Arabidopsis thaliana: one gene and its partners. The protein of the gene in region 1 interacts with the protein of each later gene in a pairwise test. Each region holds a gene or a part of one and is shown in the gene's direction. Other genes may lie near its edges.

What was found.
Region 2: the proteins of MYB52 (region 1) and AT5G59990 interact in a two-hybrid assay, tested with the Arabidopsis thaliana proteins (one large-scale study listed by BioGRID).
Region 3: the proteins of MYB52 (region 1) and BBX19 interact in a two-hybrid assay, tested with the Arabidopsis thaliana proteins (one large-scale study listed by BioGRID).
Region 4: the proteins of MYB52 (region 1) and SOM interact in a two-hybrid assay, tested with the Arabidopsis thaliana proteins (one large-scale study listed by BioGRID).

What each region holds. Positions count from the first base shown.
Region 1 is NC_003070.9:6,175,598-6,179,839, forward strand, and holds MYB52 (myb domain protein 52), read left to right. Parts: upstream 1-1,883; 5' UTR 1,884-2,166; coding exon 2,167-2,284; intron 2,285-2,404; coding exon 2,405-2,830; intron 2,831-3,260; coding exon 3,261-3,466; 3' UTR 3,467-3,692; downstream 3,693-4,242. UniProt on the Arabidopsis thaliana protein: Transcription factor that confers sensitivity to abscisic acid (ABA) and salt, but tolerance to drought. Regulates secondary cell wall (SCW) biosynthesis, especially in interfascicular and xylary fibers.
Region 2 is NC_003076.8:24,150,416-24,154,948, reverse strand, and holds AT5G59990 (CCT motif family protein), read left to right. Parts: upstream 1-1,747; 5' UTR 1,748-1,864; coding exon 1,865-2,257; intron 2,258-2,516; coding exon 2,517-2,675; coding exon of another isoform or gene 2,676-2,687; exon of another isoform or gene 2,688-3,098; intron 3,099-3,569; coding exon 3,570-3,743; 3' UTR 3,744-4,015; downstream 4,016-4,533.
Region 3 is NC_003075.7:18,159,139-18,163,865, forward strand, and holds BBX19 (B-box type zinc finger family protein), read left to right. Parts: upstream 1-1,949; 5' UTR 1,950-2,437; coding exon 2,438-2,530; intron 2,531-2,736; coding exon 2,737-2,832; intron 2,833-2,917; coding exon 2,918-2,950; exon of another isoform or gene 2,951-3,030; intron 3,031-3,155; coding exon 3,156-3,252; intron 3,253-3,368; coding exon 3,369-3,484; intron 3,485-3,584; coding exon 3,585-3,746; coding exon of another isoform or gene 3,747-3,823; coding exon 3,824-3,907; 3' UTR 3,908-4,183; downstream 4,184-4,727. Other genes in the region: FBA2 (fructose-bisphosphate aldolase 2), read right to left, coding at 4,576-4,727.
Region 4 is NC_003070.9:952,335-956,669, forward strand, and holds SOM (Zinc finger C-x8-C-x5-C-x3-H type family protein), read left to right. Parts: upstream 1-1,955; 5' UTR 1,956-2,254; coding exon 2,255-3,436; 3' UTR 3,437-3,810; downstream 3,811-4,335. UniProt on the Arabidopsis thaliana protein: Probable transcription repressor that functions as a negative regulator of phytochrome-mediated promotion of seed germination. Inhibits seed germination by regulating the expression of gibberellic acid (GA) and abscisic acid (ABA) metabolic genes.

The sequences.
Region 1 (4,242 bases):
CTAATTGATGTGAGTGCAATGATGCTATACATACTACTGTACATATATACTAGATATTACCCACTGCTGTAACCAGCAAGCTCATTAATTATCCCCATGATTCAATAGTCATCCTTGCTTTGCCTTTTTGCTTTCTGATTAACCAATTTGTTGATAGACCTAACCGGTTTAGTGTAATCAGGATCCGGTTTGCTTTATTTGAAGAAATCTTATTTGAAGAAATTCTTTTTAGTTGTGAAAGATTGTATTTGACTTCCTTCCCAACTAACTCTGCCTATTTTCCTACTAATCTCCACCAGTAATTAAGTTTGGCTTTGTTCCTACACACGTGCAAATGACTAATGAGTTCTAAAACAGTTTGGTTATAGCTTACCTAGGATTGAATTGATTAGTTGATTGGATTATAAGCTATATATCCAATCAATCCTTATAAATATTCAATAAACTGTTTTGCAAGCAATCTCAAGGAAAATTTGAACTTTGAAGTACAATACATCACTTTTCAGGTTTTCAACTTATTCCTATCATTTTATTTATATTTCATATATTTATTTTTAATGTTCTTAAGTATTTAGGCTATGTTATTATATCTTATCTGAATGTTAAAAATAGAAGTCGGTAACCATGAAATAGAAGTCGGTAACCAATGCTACATTTCATGTTTTTTTTTTCAATTTAAATTTGTTAGAGAACTGAGAGTACAAATTAAAAGCCAACCGTCGTAGACAAGACAAGAGAGAAAGTTGGTGATGTGCTTGAAGACCAAATATATGTTTGAGCAAATAAGATGTCAAATTCATTTTTATAAAGTACAAAGCCACTGATATATCAGTCAGTTAACCTATTAATTAATTAAGACACAGAGTCGTTTTAGGGTTTCCACGTTGGTCCGATTTAAGGAAAATAAAACATTTGGTTAGGTCTGAAAGGTTTAACAAAACATATCCAACGATATTTAATTACTTTATTCTACTTATACGTGACCTGCAATTAAATCATAGGTCCCCAACATCTTTACCAAACTCTCTCCTTCCCCTCCAGTATTTTTCTCTTAACAATGTATTGATATTTTCGAAGTTATAAAACCATTTTAAAACTTGTAACAATTGTCCATTAGTTATACCAAAAGGCAATACGGTTGAAATTTAGTCATCGAGTTCGATCCACAAATCCTGAAATAATAACCGTTACATTCCCCCTTAATTCTGGACGTACGAGTTCGCCTTAGTTATTTTTTATTGTTGATTTAATTTGCGGTTATGTAAAATTTCATAAATTTGGAAAATATTGTCCACATGTAATATACATAGCTAGACTTTTGAGATTTTCATTGCTTGTAACATTGTTGTTTTATGTAGTTAAACACTAACAAATGTAAGTTTTATTTATTTCTTTCAAAGTAACACTAATACAACATCATAACAGGTAAATGCAACTATAGATTTTGCAATCTAAATGTTCGTTCTTTGAACCATATATTGTAGTTAACTAATTATAGCGTTCTCCCACCTTGATTCATATTCTAGAAGTTGTCCATATATAAAAAGCTGACCATAATAATTAATATACATGTGTACATGTAGCTTGTAAAAGGTTATACGAACGTAGATGAAGTATTGGTGGCTGAAGTAGAGGGTTTAGGTTGGAAAAAAATATATTTAAGGGTAGACGTTGAAAGTTTAACGAAAACACCCCACCAAGCAATCTCTTCCCTCCTGTGTAATCTCCTTTTTTCTTTTCATTACTCATCAATTACTCAATTATTAAAACTCTCACATAAACCAAAATAATGTATATAAAAATTACGAAATAAATGGAAAAATAAAAAAGGGTAGATTACTTAAAAGGAGTGTGTTTGGTTAGGGAAGACGTTGGCATCAATCGCCGGTGAAAACCTCTCTCCAAACTTTCCCTCACTCTCTAACGAATCTTATTATATTCATTACTTTCAATTCTTTATATAATATCTAAATAAATATACTTATATAAATACATGTATGTATGGTGCTGTTGCTCTTCAGCTTTCTTCTTGTTCCTACATACCCATCTTCCCTCACCTACATCAAACCTAGGGTTTCTTAACTATATCAACAACATATATAAATTTATATATAGGTTGTGATTTATTGAAGATCATAAAGATCAAAAGGAGAGAGGTATTAAAAAATGATGTGTAGTCGAGGCCATTGGAGACCTGCAGAAGACGAGAAGCTAAGAGAACTCGTCGAACAATTTGGTCCTCATAATTGGAACGCCATAGCTCAGAAGCTCTCTGGTCGATCTGGTAAAACTGACTTTATATTAAAGTCATTTCTTTAATTTCTTACAAAGCATATATAAACTAGGGTTTAATATATTTATATAAAAATATATATGTTGGTTTGATTGGATCTTTTGGTTTCAGGTAAGAGTTGTAGATTGAGATGGTTTAATCAATTGGATCCTAGGATTAACCGAAACCCTTTCACGGAGGAAGAAGAAGAAAGGCTTTTAGCGTCTCATCGGATCCATGGGAACAGATGGTCTGTGATCGCTAGATTTTTTCCCGGTCGAACTGATAACGCTGTTAAAAACCATTGGCACGTCATCATGGCTCGTCGTGGCCGAGAACGGTCCAAGCTCCGTCCACGAGGCCTTGGCCATGATGGCACGGTGGCTGCGACTGGGATGATTGGTAATTATAAAGACTGCGATAAGGAGAGAAGATTGGCAACCACAACCGCTATCAATTTTCCTTATCAATTCTCTCATATTAATCATTTTCAAGTCCTCAAAGAGTTCTTGACCGGAAAGATCGGGTTCAGAAATAGTACTACTCCAATACAAGAAGGTAATTAGATAATATGGCTTGAATTTCTGTGTTTATGTAGCTAATATAGCTGCACAAAGATAAAACATGTGTAGCCATACGTATATTGTATTTTGTGTGAATACATATAGGCATATATAAATTACGAACTCATAGAAAACATGTACATTCGTCATATTAATGTGCAAGTAAATGAGTAATGGTGCATTAATTCGTATACAACTTGATTTAAAAAAAAAAACGATTTTTGTATAGATTATATGGGTTAAAATTCATTGTTTTCTGTAAACTCTAAATTAATTTTTGATCAATTTTTTTTGTAAAGATAGTATGAAACGATCATGATTTTCATAGTTACATGCATGCATATGGATGTACACTTGCATGTGGGTACGATTACATACTTGTGTAACTTCCAAAACTAACTTTTGGACATGGATTAATTTGTCAGGAGCAATAGACCAAACTAAACGACCGATGGAGTTCTACAATTTTCTTCAAGTAAACACGGATTCGAAGATACACGAATTGATAGATAATTCAAGAAAAGACGAAGAAGAAGATGTCGATCAAAACAACCGAATTCCTAACGAGAATTGTGTTCCATTTTTCGACTTTTTGTCTGTTGGAAACTCTGCCTCTCAGGGTTTATGTTAATTTGTCCGTACCACATGTACTATAAGGTGGACCATATGTTAATTAAAGATAATGTAGAAAGTACTAATCAATTAGAGCTCTTGTTTGAGCCAAATGTGAAAATTAGTTAAGCCATCCCAAACATGTTCTTGTATAACAAATATAAGGTTGTACTTTTCCACCTTTATCAGGTCTAATTTTCTATTTTTATTTTAAGGATGTTTAATCAGACTCATCACCATTCGGTATTTTTTTTTCTTCATATTTACAGAAATTCAATCAGACCAATCGATAAAAAGGATTGAGCAGAAGTTAATTTATTTTAAAACATTATTAAGTTTAAAGGTTTGTCATGAAACCAATCTTAAACTGAAATTCTGAAGTAAAACCAAAAATTTATTCCAAACTGGCCTAGTTTCACTTTATACTCATTTTGGCTATGGACTATGGTATATATTGTCTAAATTACAAGATGCGTATGTACTGAGAAAATTCTGTGTCCTGAATCCGGATTAATCTATAAATTATCGTAATAGAAGGACTTGAGAGTTGAGACCAAGATTTTATATTTTGTGGAATTTAATTTGCAATCGTCGGATATAATTTTTGTGTTGTTGCGTTCTTAAGGAAGATCAAATATTATAAGGTTTGATTATTAACCGAAGAAAATATGTCATTGGTGCCTAAATATATGTACCACCAAATGAACATCCTTTTAATACAGTACTACTTAATTATAATTTCATGCAGACTATTTTGACTCATATAACTTGTGATGATGATATCAAAAAAAGAAA
Region 2 (4,533 bases), on another chromosome or scaffold:
AAATTTAGGTTTTAGATGTAACAAATTTGATTTTTCATTTTTGGTTCGGTTTGTTACCATCATCCAAATGAAATATTTTGGATACATATAGATATATAATCATTTTAGTTTAAACTTGGATTGGACTGAATTAGATAAATATAATCAATATCATCTAGTAGTAATAATGTGATATGTGGGTTAATTTTTCTACTAAACAAACACCACGAGTTGGGTTGATATTATGTATCCTCATTATGGAGTGAGGCTTAAACAGGAAATTATAAGTTGTTTTGTTCTTAAATGAGTGATTATGTATTATGTATGATGATGATGATGAGTAGGCCAATTTAGTGACTGACTACAACGTGTTCCTACAATATATTGGTATATATGCAGTGATCCTACTATTCGAATTTCGTTCTTGGAATGTAACTAATCGTAAACAAAATATCTATAAAAAAAAACAATATTTATATACTTTACCGTAGGGGTAGCTATGTATAACTCGTTTGAGATATTCTCTCGATATGTTACCTAAATCGATTTGATTCCAAACAAAAAATTCTGGCTAATTAACCTGACTAATCATGGATTGGAACAGATATACAATTCATATACAGAGCAGTACTATCGTGTCTTGTCTGGTTAATTATCCGGACCGGACTAAACACCCGTTTAATGTGAACATAACCAAAGCAATCAAGTATCTGAGCTTAATTAATTATTACTGTTGATTAAGTTAATGATTAATTAGGCAAAAAAGTAGATTTGTATGCTGCTCACATGGGTTTGCGTGAAATAATGCTTTTAACCATCTTTTTGTCTCTCCTATACAATTCGAGCTAAAAAGCTAAGTCGTGTCCTTTATTTTATTTTATTTTTCTTTACATTGTTCTTTTGCTGTTATGATTTATGAATGTTGCACGAGATGTTATCTATCTACTATTTTAAAACACAATTGTATATTTTTTTTCGTCAAGGACTTGAAGTTAAAACACAATTGCTTACGAAAATATCAGTAAATTTACTGTTTCAAGAAATGATTATGCCTTCCATTTTACAACAATTATCGTTGTGAAATTCTTAATACATTAAAAAATGTTATAACGCCATTTAGTTTGAAACGTAAATGTGTTAAAGAGATTGAAAAAAAAGAAAGAGTTTACTAATTATAAAATTCAATATAATAACAATTTTTTTGAAATTCAATATAATTAGTATTTTTTTTTTTGAATACCAAGAGGTTTTGGACTGAAACCCGTAATCCCTCCGTACCCGAAACTACAGCATATAATATTACTTTTGTTCTAAACGTCATTCGAACTGGCGATCTCTAAGTTTCGTCTAGGGTTTTTACTAATTGAATTAACAACACTTGGTTATAATTAGTAATTATTTGTCACTAGCTTTCTTCCTCTGTATTTATAATTGATAGCATATTAATCAGTAACCTATATATAAGTAAGTATATTTGAATTTTTGTTTTTAGTAGTAGTTCTATTTTTAATGAAAACATTTTTAAACCTAAATGAAAAAATAATTATCATTTTTGTTCAACTATCCAAATTCACCTTCGTATAATACATGTCGGATTCAATTTCGTGTAATATATGTCGTTTGAAGAATAACGGGTGAGAGTGAGATAGAAGCGACCTGAAAACGAAAGGCAACTCTTTTTATACCTAAAGATTCCTTTTTTCCTAGTCAGTCAAAAGAAGTCAACGGTTAAGTCAGTTGACTTCAGATGACGATTAATGACGTCAGCATCAGTCCTTCCTCTGTTAAATAGAAACCAAACCACTTCGAGTTTCACTCACTCACACACACACACATAAACAAACACACAAAGACACATAAACACCACAATAAACTAAAACCCACCATGTGTGGACACGTCAGCACTTCTATAACCTCCGGCGACAACTGTCCATGTTTTCTATACTCCGACGACATAGTGGCTCCTCCTCAGCTGCTTGATCATCATCATCATCAGTTCCCGCCTCCGCCTTTGGCGCTTCTTATGATGAGCCAAAACTCTCTATACGCGGCCGAGGCGGTTTCAGGGTTCGGTTACTTTGATTCCGGCATGAACGGTGGTGGTGGAAGCAGCAGCTGCGACTCGCCAAGCTCTATGGGGAGTGGCGGAGAGAGTCTTGTTATGCAGAGGAGTGTTAGTAGCCATAATGGCTTTTCCGGTAATTACACAGCGGCCCATGATTTCGTTAACGATGATGATGGGCCAGTGAGACGGGCCCTTAGCGCCGGAGATCTACCCGTAAGTAATATTATATACACACTTGCAGTTTCGAGATTTCAAACGTTAACTTTTATGTTTTCGTTTACGTATGAAATTTTTCACATTTTATAAAACGAAACATTATATTGTTGGTTTGTTTTATGGTTTTGCAAGAGTGTAAAATGAAAACACCAAAACACAAATAAATTATCTAAACATACTAAAATTTGGGGTTTTATTTGAAAATAATAATAATTCTATCATAACATAAGACGACACTGTTTTGGTATGTGTGTAGAGGAGTAGCAGAAGAGAGAGCAGTACGGTGTGGAGTGAGAGCAATGCAATAATAGAAGGAATGAGCAAAGCCTACAAGTATAGTCCTGAGGAGAAGAAAGAAAAGATCGAGAAATATCGTAGCAAACGAAACCTTAGGAATTTCAACAAGAGGATTAAGGTAATTTTATAAATGTTTTACAGTTGTTTCTTTGTTCTAAACTGTTTGTTAGCATAAATTCTTATATCTTATTTTAACATATAAGAATTTATCATTTGATTCATATTGTTCTTCATCACATAGAGTCCATGTACACCTAACCTATATTATATATTCAACATGTGTATATATGTGTCGCATGGAAAACTTTTGAGGACTTGACATGTACAGTAGTTGTATGGAACAGTGACATGCACCTTCACATATATTGATGCAACCATTTTCTAATCAAGCATACAATTTCCTATAAATTTCTTCATTAATCAACTAATAATGATTTCTGTATAATTTCATACACAAGAGCATATATAAATGTCTATTTTCTTAAAATCAAATGTATAAGATATCTTTTCTTAGTAATACTGTTTTTTTTTCACATTTAATACAAAACTAAATGGTTCGTTGACCAAAAAAAAAAAAAAAAACAGGCTCAATGTATCATATCAATCACTCTTATCACTAAAAAGTAACATTGAATTTTTCTTTTCAATCTTATCTTCAAACATAAATAGAATTTCATCTGATATATATGAGTATGTGAACGAGAATTAATGTTCTGTCACATCATATTTGGGTCTAAGGAATCCTTTGAGATAGACACATCAAGCTCCAAGGTTGCTACAAGTTTTTTTCTCCATTAGTTTTTTCTTACAAGAAGGTCCACAAATATATTTCATTGCTAATTAAAGATCGGATTGGAGTATTCATGTACTAACATATTCAAACCGTATCTCAATGAGATATTTCTGCTCGCGTTATAATTTTTTGACCGACAAGTTTTGACTTGTGAATGATCTAAAAACTATCACAATACTTTGGGACAGGTTTAATAATAATCTTTTATCTTTCTATTAGTACGAATGCAGGAAGACATTAGCGGACAGTAGGCCAAGAATAAGAGGGAGATTTGCAAGAAATGATGAGATCTCACAACAAGAACAAGTTGATGTTATGGAAGCCGTGGTAGGAGATGTCGACACGTGGGCATCTTTTCTTGATTCTTTCTCTGCTAATCACTTCCTCAACTAATTTAATCTCTTCTATGTTTGTTTTTCTTATATATGTTTATATATGGCACTTTAATTTGTTTTGGTTTAAAAGATTTCCCCATGTTGCTAAACTCATGTGTAGGTTTTGTGTTATCTTTGTATATAAGAATAACATATCTTGTATTTTTGATCTGAGATATTTGCAAACTAATCCTTTTTCACTGGCCATACAATTCTGCATGAGTGGTATATGCCACTTTGTCAATTGACGATTGCAATTGTCTTAGCATGGCACTGAGTTCTATAAGTGAGATAAATGGGGTTTTAGATAGGTTAAAGGCAAAACAAAACGATATTCACCTATTGAGAACAAAGTGGATTTGAGATAAAACGTCGTCGCCGTATTAGATCCGTCATTTAAATTCGGTAGTCCATAAGTGAGTTGCAAACGATATACATAAAACAATTAAAAATATCGAACTCCAACTAAAACAAATTGATTACACATCGTTAATGTATATGGACCCTTAAATAGTTAATGTATAGTTTAGTATGTTCCTTAATGGTCTGATTTTTCTTTTACCAACTTGATTTACAAAAGTATTTAGAAAGTACAAAGATGATAACTTTTAGCATTGAAAAACATATAATGAACACATGGCCATGTTACTTTGATGATTTCATAATACTCTCACGTTGATTACACATCGTGCTAAGTACTAGCAATCTCCAAAGGTAAACATATATTATATACCTTAAGAATTCTTAAGATATCAAAGAAGCTTCCACTCAAATAAACTAACTTAAAGTAATCAACCCATACATTCATT
Region 3 (4,727 bases), on another chromosome or scaffold:
CGCAAAATCAAACATAAAAATAATAGCTTTGTAGTTTTTGAATTCATCAATGGAGAGGGAGACAAGGTCAGTCACAAATGCGTGTTTAAAGGTTAAAAAAAGTAACTTGGAGTTTACTTAGTCAAAACTCAATGAAACCTTATCAATTGCACCAACAGAACATTTAATCATTATCACAAAATGCATCTCAATCTTGAACCAGAATACTAAGATTTTGCGTCTATAAAGTGCGTGTCTTGTCTACATCTCTAACAAGCAAGATAAAGAAACATGCAAAGGAGCTGTTTTTACCTTGTGAGTGAGTTGTCTTCTTCTTCCTCCTCTAAAGGGAATAATGCGGTTCCAGAAAGAATCCTCTTGTGTCTCACTCTTCGCACTCCGAAGCTCTAAACTGCAAGCAAACATCCACTACAGAATTCAGCAATGACAACACAGATTCGAAATTTTGCAATTGTTTTGTACTTCTCCATTAGTGACTTTATCAATGAATGACACAAACCCAAACAACAAAACCAGATTTTGAAAAAGTAACTATTATCTTTTGGGGCACATGAAAAAGGAAAGTAGTCAGAAGTAGTAATCCAAGATGTCACGGTTGAGAGAAACAACAATGTGAAGTTTTCTTCTGAAAGGGAACCCTAAAGAGTGCCGGAATTGGAAACACAACAGTGCTCACCGGAAAACCAAAAGAAAACAAAACGGAAAGATTTGTAAAAGAAAAAGAGAGAGAAATGACAATGTTAATCCCACCCACTTCCTCCTGCTACTGCCTACAAGTTTGGTAGTTGTTTGTTCTTCGTCGTAGTCGTCGTCGTCTTCTTCTTCTTAACTTTTGTCTGAAGGGACCACTCCATTGATTTGGTCCCAAAGATTCTCTCTTTTCTTCTATTCGCCGGTTTCTCAGACTCTCTCTCTCTCGGCTTGGGTAGTTAATGACCGGTTTACCCCTGAAACTTAATTAGGAACCTTAAACCCGCCACGTGGACCTCACACTCCACTTCATCGTAGCCCATTAGTGAGAGACCTTTTCTCCCGGCCCAGAAGGTCATAATGATATTTTGATAACAAATATAATGGATATCTAGCCCAACATTACAAGTAAAGCCCAACATTTAGCAATGATGCACATGGCAGGCAAACTCTCTTCTTTGGATGCTCTGTTTTTTATAAAAACCATAATCTATATTTTCAACAGAAGAGAACATTGTAATTATGCAAATATTGATTCTCGTGTTTATGAATAGGGTGCGTCAAAACTTTTCTTTCAAATTTTACAAATGCCAAAGTGTCATAAAACAAGCTACAAAAGAATGTTTATGGAGGAGAGAAAGAATAAACTTTGGGATGAAAAGAAAAAAAAACTAAGATAATTGTGAAGATGTTAGTTAAATGAAATTGAGAAGATGGGCAAGGAAATAAAAACAACATTAAACCAAGGCCACTAGTAGAGTTTTGAGAGTTGCTTTCAACTACTTCTCGACCACCAATTTTTTAAATGGCTGGTGACATTTGGCCCACCCACCTCTTTGTCTTTTTTTTTAATTCCTTTTGTGGCTCTTATTTTTTCCCCCTTTTTTATTTATTTTAGTTTATATTTTTACTTTTAAAAATAGTCACACGTCCTAAATCTTAGCACATTATGTTGCCTAAAACTATTTCAGCTGCCGTCAAAAAAAGGAAGAAAAAAAATCAGATATAGGATCCAAGAAATCATATAAAGATTGTGACAAAAAAAACTTTTTCACCAAAACAAAGGAAACAAGACAACGAATGTGTTTCAGGGAGACACATCAATGACCTCCCAGATGGCATTGAGTCTTTCGTCTTCACTTTTTAGTCGATATCATTTTTCTTTTTGTCTGATAATGGTCTCTGATATAATGGACTTTAAACAATCTTATAACTCAAAACCATATCCACTATAAAAGATTTGGTCTTCCCAATATTTTCTCCTAAATCATACTACACACATTTCTTGTTAGGTACTACTTTAATCATAATTTTCGTTAGTCAAAACACACAATTAAAGAAAAAAAGTAATTGATTGGAGAAATTTACTCAAAGTAGTAATTAACAGATTTTGCCTTGTCACAGCAAAGTATGCTTATTTGATACTCTCGGCGCGTGGATTTGGTCGTCGTCTCTTCTGGTCTCTCAAGCTTCTCCTCCATCGTAGAAAAAGATTTTAAAGGAGCGATTTTTATAATCTTAAATAATTTCTTCCCTTTCTTCTTCTTCTTCTAGTTCCTTGATACCAACGCGTAATCCTAACCCTTAATCTACTTCCTCCTTAATTAATCAGAGGTTTCTACTTATTATTTCCACTTCTCATCTCTTTCAATCGCAATCTGAGTTCTGGCTAAAGATTTTGTCTTGAAGGTGAGATTCATTGTTCCGAATAGAGTGAGAAAAAGACTTATAAGATTGAAAAAGCAAGATGCGGATTTTGTGCGATGCTTGCGAGAACGCAGCCGCAATCATCTTTTGCGCCGCCGATGAAGCTGCCCTTTGTCGCCCCTGCGATGAAAAAGTAACTTCTCTCCCAAAAAAGCTTCCTTTTTTTCTTTAACTCTCCTCTCTATCTATTGGTTGTGCTCTGATGGGTTCGTCAAAGATCAAGTCTTTGTTATCTCTGTCTGGGAATTCTCAGTTGATTTGGACCTGAGTTGATCTGGCTTTTCGATAACTTTGAGCTAAAGAAATAAGATTTTTGAGATTTGGTTTCTAGATTCTTAGGCTCTTCACATGAGATTAGATATTTCGAAGTGTAGTGAATCCGTCAAAAGAGTTCAAATAGTTGAAACCTCTTCTCTCATTTGGTGGATTAAGATGGTTCAGTTGATGAATTTACATGTTTGATTACATGAGTGTTTGTTGCTGCGGTTTCAATGATTCTACTCTGTCATGTACATTGCAGGGAACGTTTTGTCTCCAGAGTTTGCATTTAGTAGTATTAACTTCTGGAGAAGAAAATAATCGATTTTCTGCTCTTTGCGCTTAATCCTTACTTCAGTTAGATGACTCTTAAGGGTAACACTTTATAGTCCTTCTCGAGTCATTGGTTCATCCTTCTCTACTGCAATAGCTCTTAGTAGTTTTCGGATTTTGATCGGAAATGGATTACTTCAAAGCTTTGTAATGTTTTCTTCTTTCAGGTTCATATGTGCAACAAGCTAGCTAGTCGGCATGTACGTGTTGGTTTAGCTGAACCAAGCAATGCCCCATGCTGTGATATATGCGAAAATGCACCTGGTATGATCTCTTTACAATGAACTTCCCACACTCGTGTTTAATGTTTTCGCATATGTACATATATTGAAAAATGAAGAGAAATCTTTTGTCTGCAATGTTTTTTGTTGTGAGAACAGCCTTCTTTTACTGTGAGATAGACGGTAGTTCTCTTTGTCTGCAATGTGACATGGTAGTACATGTTGGTGGCAAGAGAACACACGGTCGGTTTCTTTTGCTGAGACAGAGAATCGAGGTTTGAATTAACTAATTGTTTCTTTCTCACGCAGACACACAATCATTTTGAGTCGATTTCTTAGTTTTAATAGTCATCTTGTGTTTATCGTTTCTTGTAGTTTCCAGGGGATAAGCCTAAAGAAAACAATACGAGGGACAATTTGCAGAACCAAAGAGTCTCTACAAATGGAAATGGTGAAGCCAATGGGAAGATTGATGACGAAATGATTGATCTAAATGCTAATCCACAAAGAGTACATGAGCCATCATCAAATAACAACGTATATGAATCCCTCTATCCAACATATTCTCAATCTTTGTTTTTGTATTCTCAATTCGAATGTTTCTCAATGAGCAGGGGATTGATGTAAATAACGAGAACAATCACGAGCCTGCAGGCCTTGTACCAGTTGGACCCTTTAAACGAGAGTCTGAGAAGTGATAAGGTGAGAGAGAGAGAGAGAAAGAGACTCTTTACTCTGATTCAAAAAATCAGTTTAAGAAGAAGATTGTAAAAAGTTTCAAGAACTGGAGATTTCATGTCCGTTTTTTTTCCTTCCTTCTGATTCTTAGATCGTTGCTGGTGTAACCGAGCTTTGTTGTTGAAGAGGGAAGGTTTATGTTGTTTGTGCATTATCTTAGTTTTAAGGAATTAGCTTAAGTGCTCACATGAATGTAAGCTAATCTCTGAAATTCTAAATAATTTTATTTGTTTCTGTTTTTTTTTCTTAATAAAATCCTCTGGGAAATGGACGAAAAAGAAAGAAGACGAAAAATTGGGCCAATTAAAAGATTAAGCCCACTTAATATGCAAAGGCCCCATGAGGCTAAGCGTTGTCCTTTGAGAATTGTAAGCTTCGTGGAGACCATTTCCTCCTGTATCCTCTTTGTTCAAAATTTAAAATTGGTTGATTATGGAATAGTTGTAGTTTCAAGTTTAAATAGATCAAGAGAGATAGATAACTTCAATATAATAGAACTTATTAAAAGGAGTAGCTAACGCAAAGTAAGCAGAGAAAATAATGATTTGACATGATTAATAACAAGCAAACTCAAAAACAAATGTGATTAAAACATCTGCTTCATCTCTTTTTTCACAGCATCATCTCTTCAATAGGTGTACCCTTTGACGAACATGCCCTCCTTAGCCTCTTCGGACTCACCCTCACCGGTGTATTTTCCGAGCTGAGCCAACGAATTGGCCTTGGCACGGGCCAAGAGAGTGGTCTGAGCTGCGTTCACGTTCTCGGGTCTGCCGCCCC
Region 4 (4,335 bases), 5.2 Mb from region 1:
TTCTTCCTCTCTTTTAGAACTTTATCACAACCACGTGATTAACCTTATCAGAAACTGAGAAAAGTATGTAAGATCTCTTTCTGAATCGAGAAGAAGAAAGAAAACAAATTACAAGTTGTGTTATGTGTATATTACATCTAGATAGTTATTTTTGAGAACTATGAAGATATTAATGTATTTGTAACTATTATAGAAATTTGTGGTACATGTTTTTGCATTTTTCAGTAAACATATATATATTTATTGTTTACTATTTGTATATATAAGTAATCATATCACTAAATACAAAATGAGAAGCTTTGGATTGTGTGGAACCATAATTTAAGTAAGGACATAACCAAAAATTAGATACAAAATGAGATACCAGTCCCAAAACATTGAACTTGCCAAAACCGAAACATAATGTCATGTAACAAAACCAGTGTTCTATTTGCCGTCGAAACAATATTAGTTAATTTCTCGTTTATACTTTAAATGTAAATTACCGCTTTCATCTGTATATCTGTTTTTGTCGTGGTTCTTCTATCCGATTCCAAATGAAAACACACAATTTCGGAACTTAATTTTATTCTTCAAAATTTTGGCATAAAAGTTAGAAATTGGTATTTTAAATAATTAATTTATGGAGTTGAAGACTTGTGAAGGTAGAAACCAAAAATGTATTTGCTTCCATCAGAGCCACGCAACAATGGAAAAAGTGACACTTGTACATACACATGCACCCGATTTTTAGATACATTAATAGATAGACTGAAAATTATAAAAGTAATTAAATATCATTTGTTTCCGCTGATAAATGGCGTACAAAATAAAAAAACGTATTTTTTTTATACGTGTTTTGTATTTAATCTCGTGCATATCCTTTCTGTGTTGTAAAGTCTTCTTAGATTCGTTGTATACAAGATCTTCTATAAGTTCGTGTATAATTTATTCAGACAAATTATGCGATTGTATTATTGTATCAAGAAATTAATTAAACTAGGTCTTTTATAAATAGGTTGTACGAGTTCTTTTTATTATAGTCATTAATATTTCTTAATTTTAAGTTAAAATTAATTAAAGTGTTCTACAGTTTAGTTGTGGTTAAATTATTTATATGGAAGATCTTTACATAATTAAAGTGTTCTACAGTTTAAGTTTGAAGAACGTCTTTCTTTACATATAAACTTTTCGAAGTTGTGAAACTATGTTCTTAGGAAAACAAGCTAAGAATATTATATTTGAATTTCGTTATATTTGTTATTTCGTCGCTTTTATGATCTTGAAACGTGATTGAACCTATAGTCCGAGGGGATGAACCAAATTTAATGTTTCTAAATCTACCAGTTAATTGTTTTCTTACCAATTTACTCATTTAATTTAGATGATATATTGATCGATTTTCTGTCATACTGATACTTATTCGGTTATGTACTACGTTATTTTACATAGCAGTTACGTATCCAAGAGAGTAAAAATTAATGATTTTAAGTTTTTGTTAAAATATTTTCTTCTAAGAGATAAAATTAAGTAAAAGAAGAAAAATATGAACACTTAACTTAAAATCCAAAAATACAAATTAATATATGAAAAAATAAGTAAAACTGCTTTAAATAATAATCCTAAGTAAGGAAAAATAATACTTCAAATGCTGATCGCTTTAACAAACAAGAATACTTATCAAACAGTAACATAATCATATATATGGGGTGGTTACTTATTTTTGGTATCAAAGTCACAAAGTACTTGCCTACTTGGTAACAAACTAGAAGACAAATTCATACATTATAATTAATTTGTTATAAAGTTAGTTGTTTTATCCTTATACTTTCAAGTATAATTCTAACAAAAAAACAAATTAGAAAGTAAATGGATGTTGATAAGGGAGAGAGAAAGAGAGGATGATGCTGATGAAAACATAGGCACATGTGTTAGGTCTGAAGCAAGGAGAGAAAGGCAGCTCCTGCTTCTTTTGCATGAAACCTCTCTAAAACTCTTCTCTTATCTCGCCACGAACCCTCTCCCCATACCCTTCACACGACTCCTTCCACTTTTTAATCTCTTGTCTTCTTATTACATCTCATCAAAATTCTATTTAATGATAATAATCCAAAGCTAACAATATTTAAATATACGTTTTAACTTATTCTCATGTCTATATCTATACTCAATCCACATATATATAAACCACAATATCCCATCTTTCATCTTACACAAATCCCTCAAAACCAAAACACATCACAAACAAAAAAAACAAGTTAGATATTATATCATCATGGATGTCGTTTGTACGGAACATCAAATGAGGAAGCCAACGGTGGAGATTCCTCCGAGAAAGCTTCTTTTATCTTCCAAGAGTTTTCCTTCTGATTCTTCTTCCCCTCGCTCGCCGCGTAAACATAACTGGAACAAAAGCAACAAGATTACATCTGAACATGAAGAAGACAACGAAGACAACAACAGAGAGAATAAAGAGTACTGTTATGATTCTGACTCTGATGATCCTTACGCAAGTGATCATTTCCGGATGTTCGAATTCAAGATCCGTCGTTGCACTCGTAGCCGAAGCCACGATTGGACTGATTGTCCTTTTGCTCATCCCGGTGAGAAAGCTCGCCGTCGTGACCCTCGTCGCTTTCAATACTCCGGTGAGGTTTGTCCCGAGTTTCGTCGTGGTGGTGATTGTAGCCGTGGAGATGATTGTGAGTTTGCTCATGGAGTCTTCGAGTGTTGGCTCCATCCTATTCGTTACCGTACTGAAGCTTGTAAAGACGGTAAACACTGTAAAAGGAAAGTCTGTTTCTTTGCTCATTCGCCACGTCAGCTTAGGGTTCTTCCTCCGGAGAACGTTTCCGGTGTCTCAGCGTCGCCTTCTCCTGCGGCGAAGAATCCATGTTGCTTGTTTTGTAGCAGCTCTCCCACGAGCACTCTTTTGGGTAATTTGTCTCATCTTTCTCGATCTCCGTCTCTGTCTCCACCTATGTCTCCGGCTAATAAAGCCGCTGCTTTTTCACGGTTGAGGAACCGCGCCGCTTCTGCCGTTTCCGCCGCTGCAGCCGCTGGTTCAATGAACTATAAAGACGTTTTGAGCGAGCTTGTGAATTCTTTGGATTCCATGAGCTTAGCGGAAGCGCTGCAGGCGAGTTCCTCGTCGCCCGTTACAACTCCGGTTTCCGCTGCGGCTGCCGCGTTTGCGTCGTCCTGCGGTCTGAGCAATCAGCGTCTCCATCTCCAGCAACAACAACCAAGTAGCCCTTTGCAATTTGCTCTTTCGCCTTCCACTCCAAGTTACCTAACTAACTCACCTCAGGCGAACTTCTTCAGTGATGATTTCACTCCTCGCCGGAGACAGATGAACGATTTCACGGCGATGACGGCCGTTAGGGAGAATACTAACATTGAGGATGGTTCTTGTGGTGACCCTGATCTAGGATGGGTCAATGATCTCTTGACTTGAGGGATTGACGGTGGAGATTCGCCGGGAGGAGATCTGACTTGAGAATGTAAATTTCGGTGGAAGAATTTTAATCACATTCATGAATCATGGGAGAATAATCGGTTCGTAACGGTTTGGTCAATGCATGGAGAGATTGTTTGTTCAAATTTATTTTGAAGATTTTTTTTTTTAGCTAATTCAGAAGTGTCTTGTGTATTGTCGTTTATTTTTTAGAATTTTCTTTTTCTGATGGGATTTTTACCAAATAATATGTTGAACTTGTAATATCTTGTGGACTCGGATTGTGCAATGTTTCACCAATTCTATAGATATTTTTCCCTTTTCATGTATACTTTGTTAAATCTTTAATAGATCAATTTGAACATTACAACCTCACAATTGAATATTGATATGTATATTGATCTTCTTTTTTGTTTTCGTCTTCGTCTGTTTTCATCATTGTGATATGTATATTGATTAACTGATGGTTTTTGTTTTATAGTTAATTTGTATTAAGCTTTTAAACGTATAAAATATCACTGGACGATTGATCACATTGCGTTTTCGGTTTACGCTATTAAGTTTTATAAATGATATTAAGATATGCGTTTCTTGAAAATAAATGTTTCATCTCATCGTATACCCTGAAACGTGTTATGTTTATGATTTAATTTTATGAATGTACCTATGCACAATTCTCGAATTATTCATCCCCCTCACCCTGAAATGTGTTATGTTTTGGTTATGCTGGTGCCTGGTAGACGAGAATACAGTTGTGTTAGTACCGTCTCCCTAAAGTTATATGTCACATCCTTTTTTGTATATAAAAAGGTGCGACAAGTTCTCCAATTGTTCTTCTTTGGACACCACACGAAAGCTAGTAGCTTTCATATGAGGCATGTGTATGTCATCGACAGATG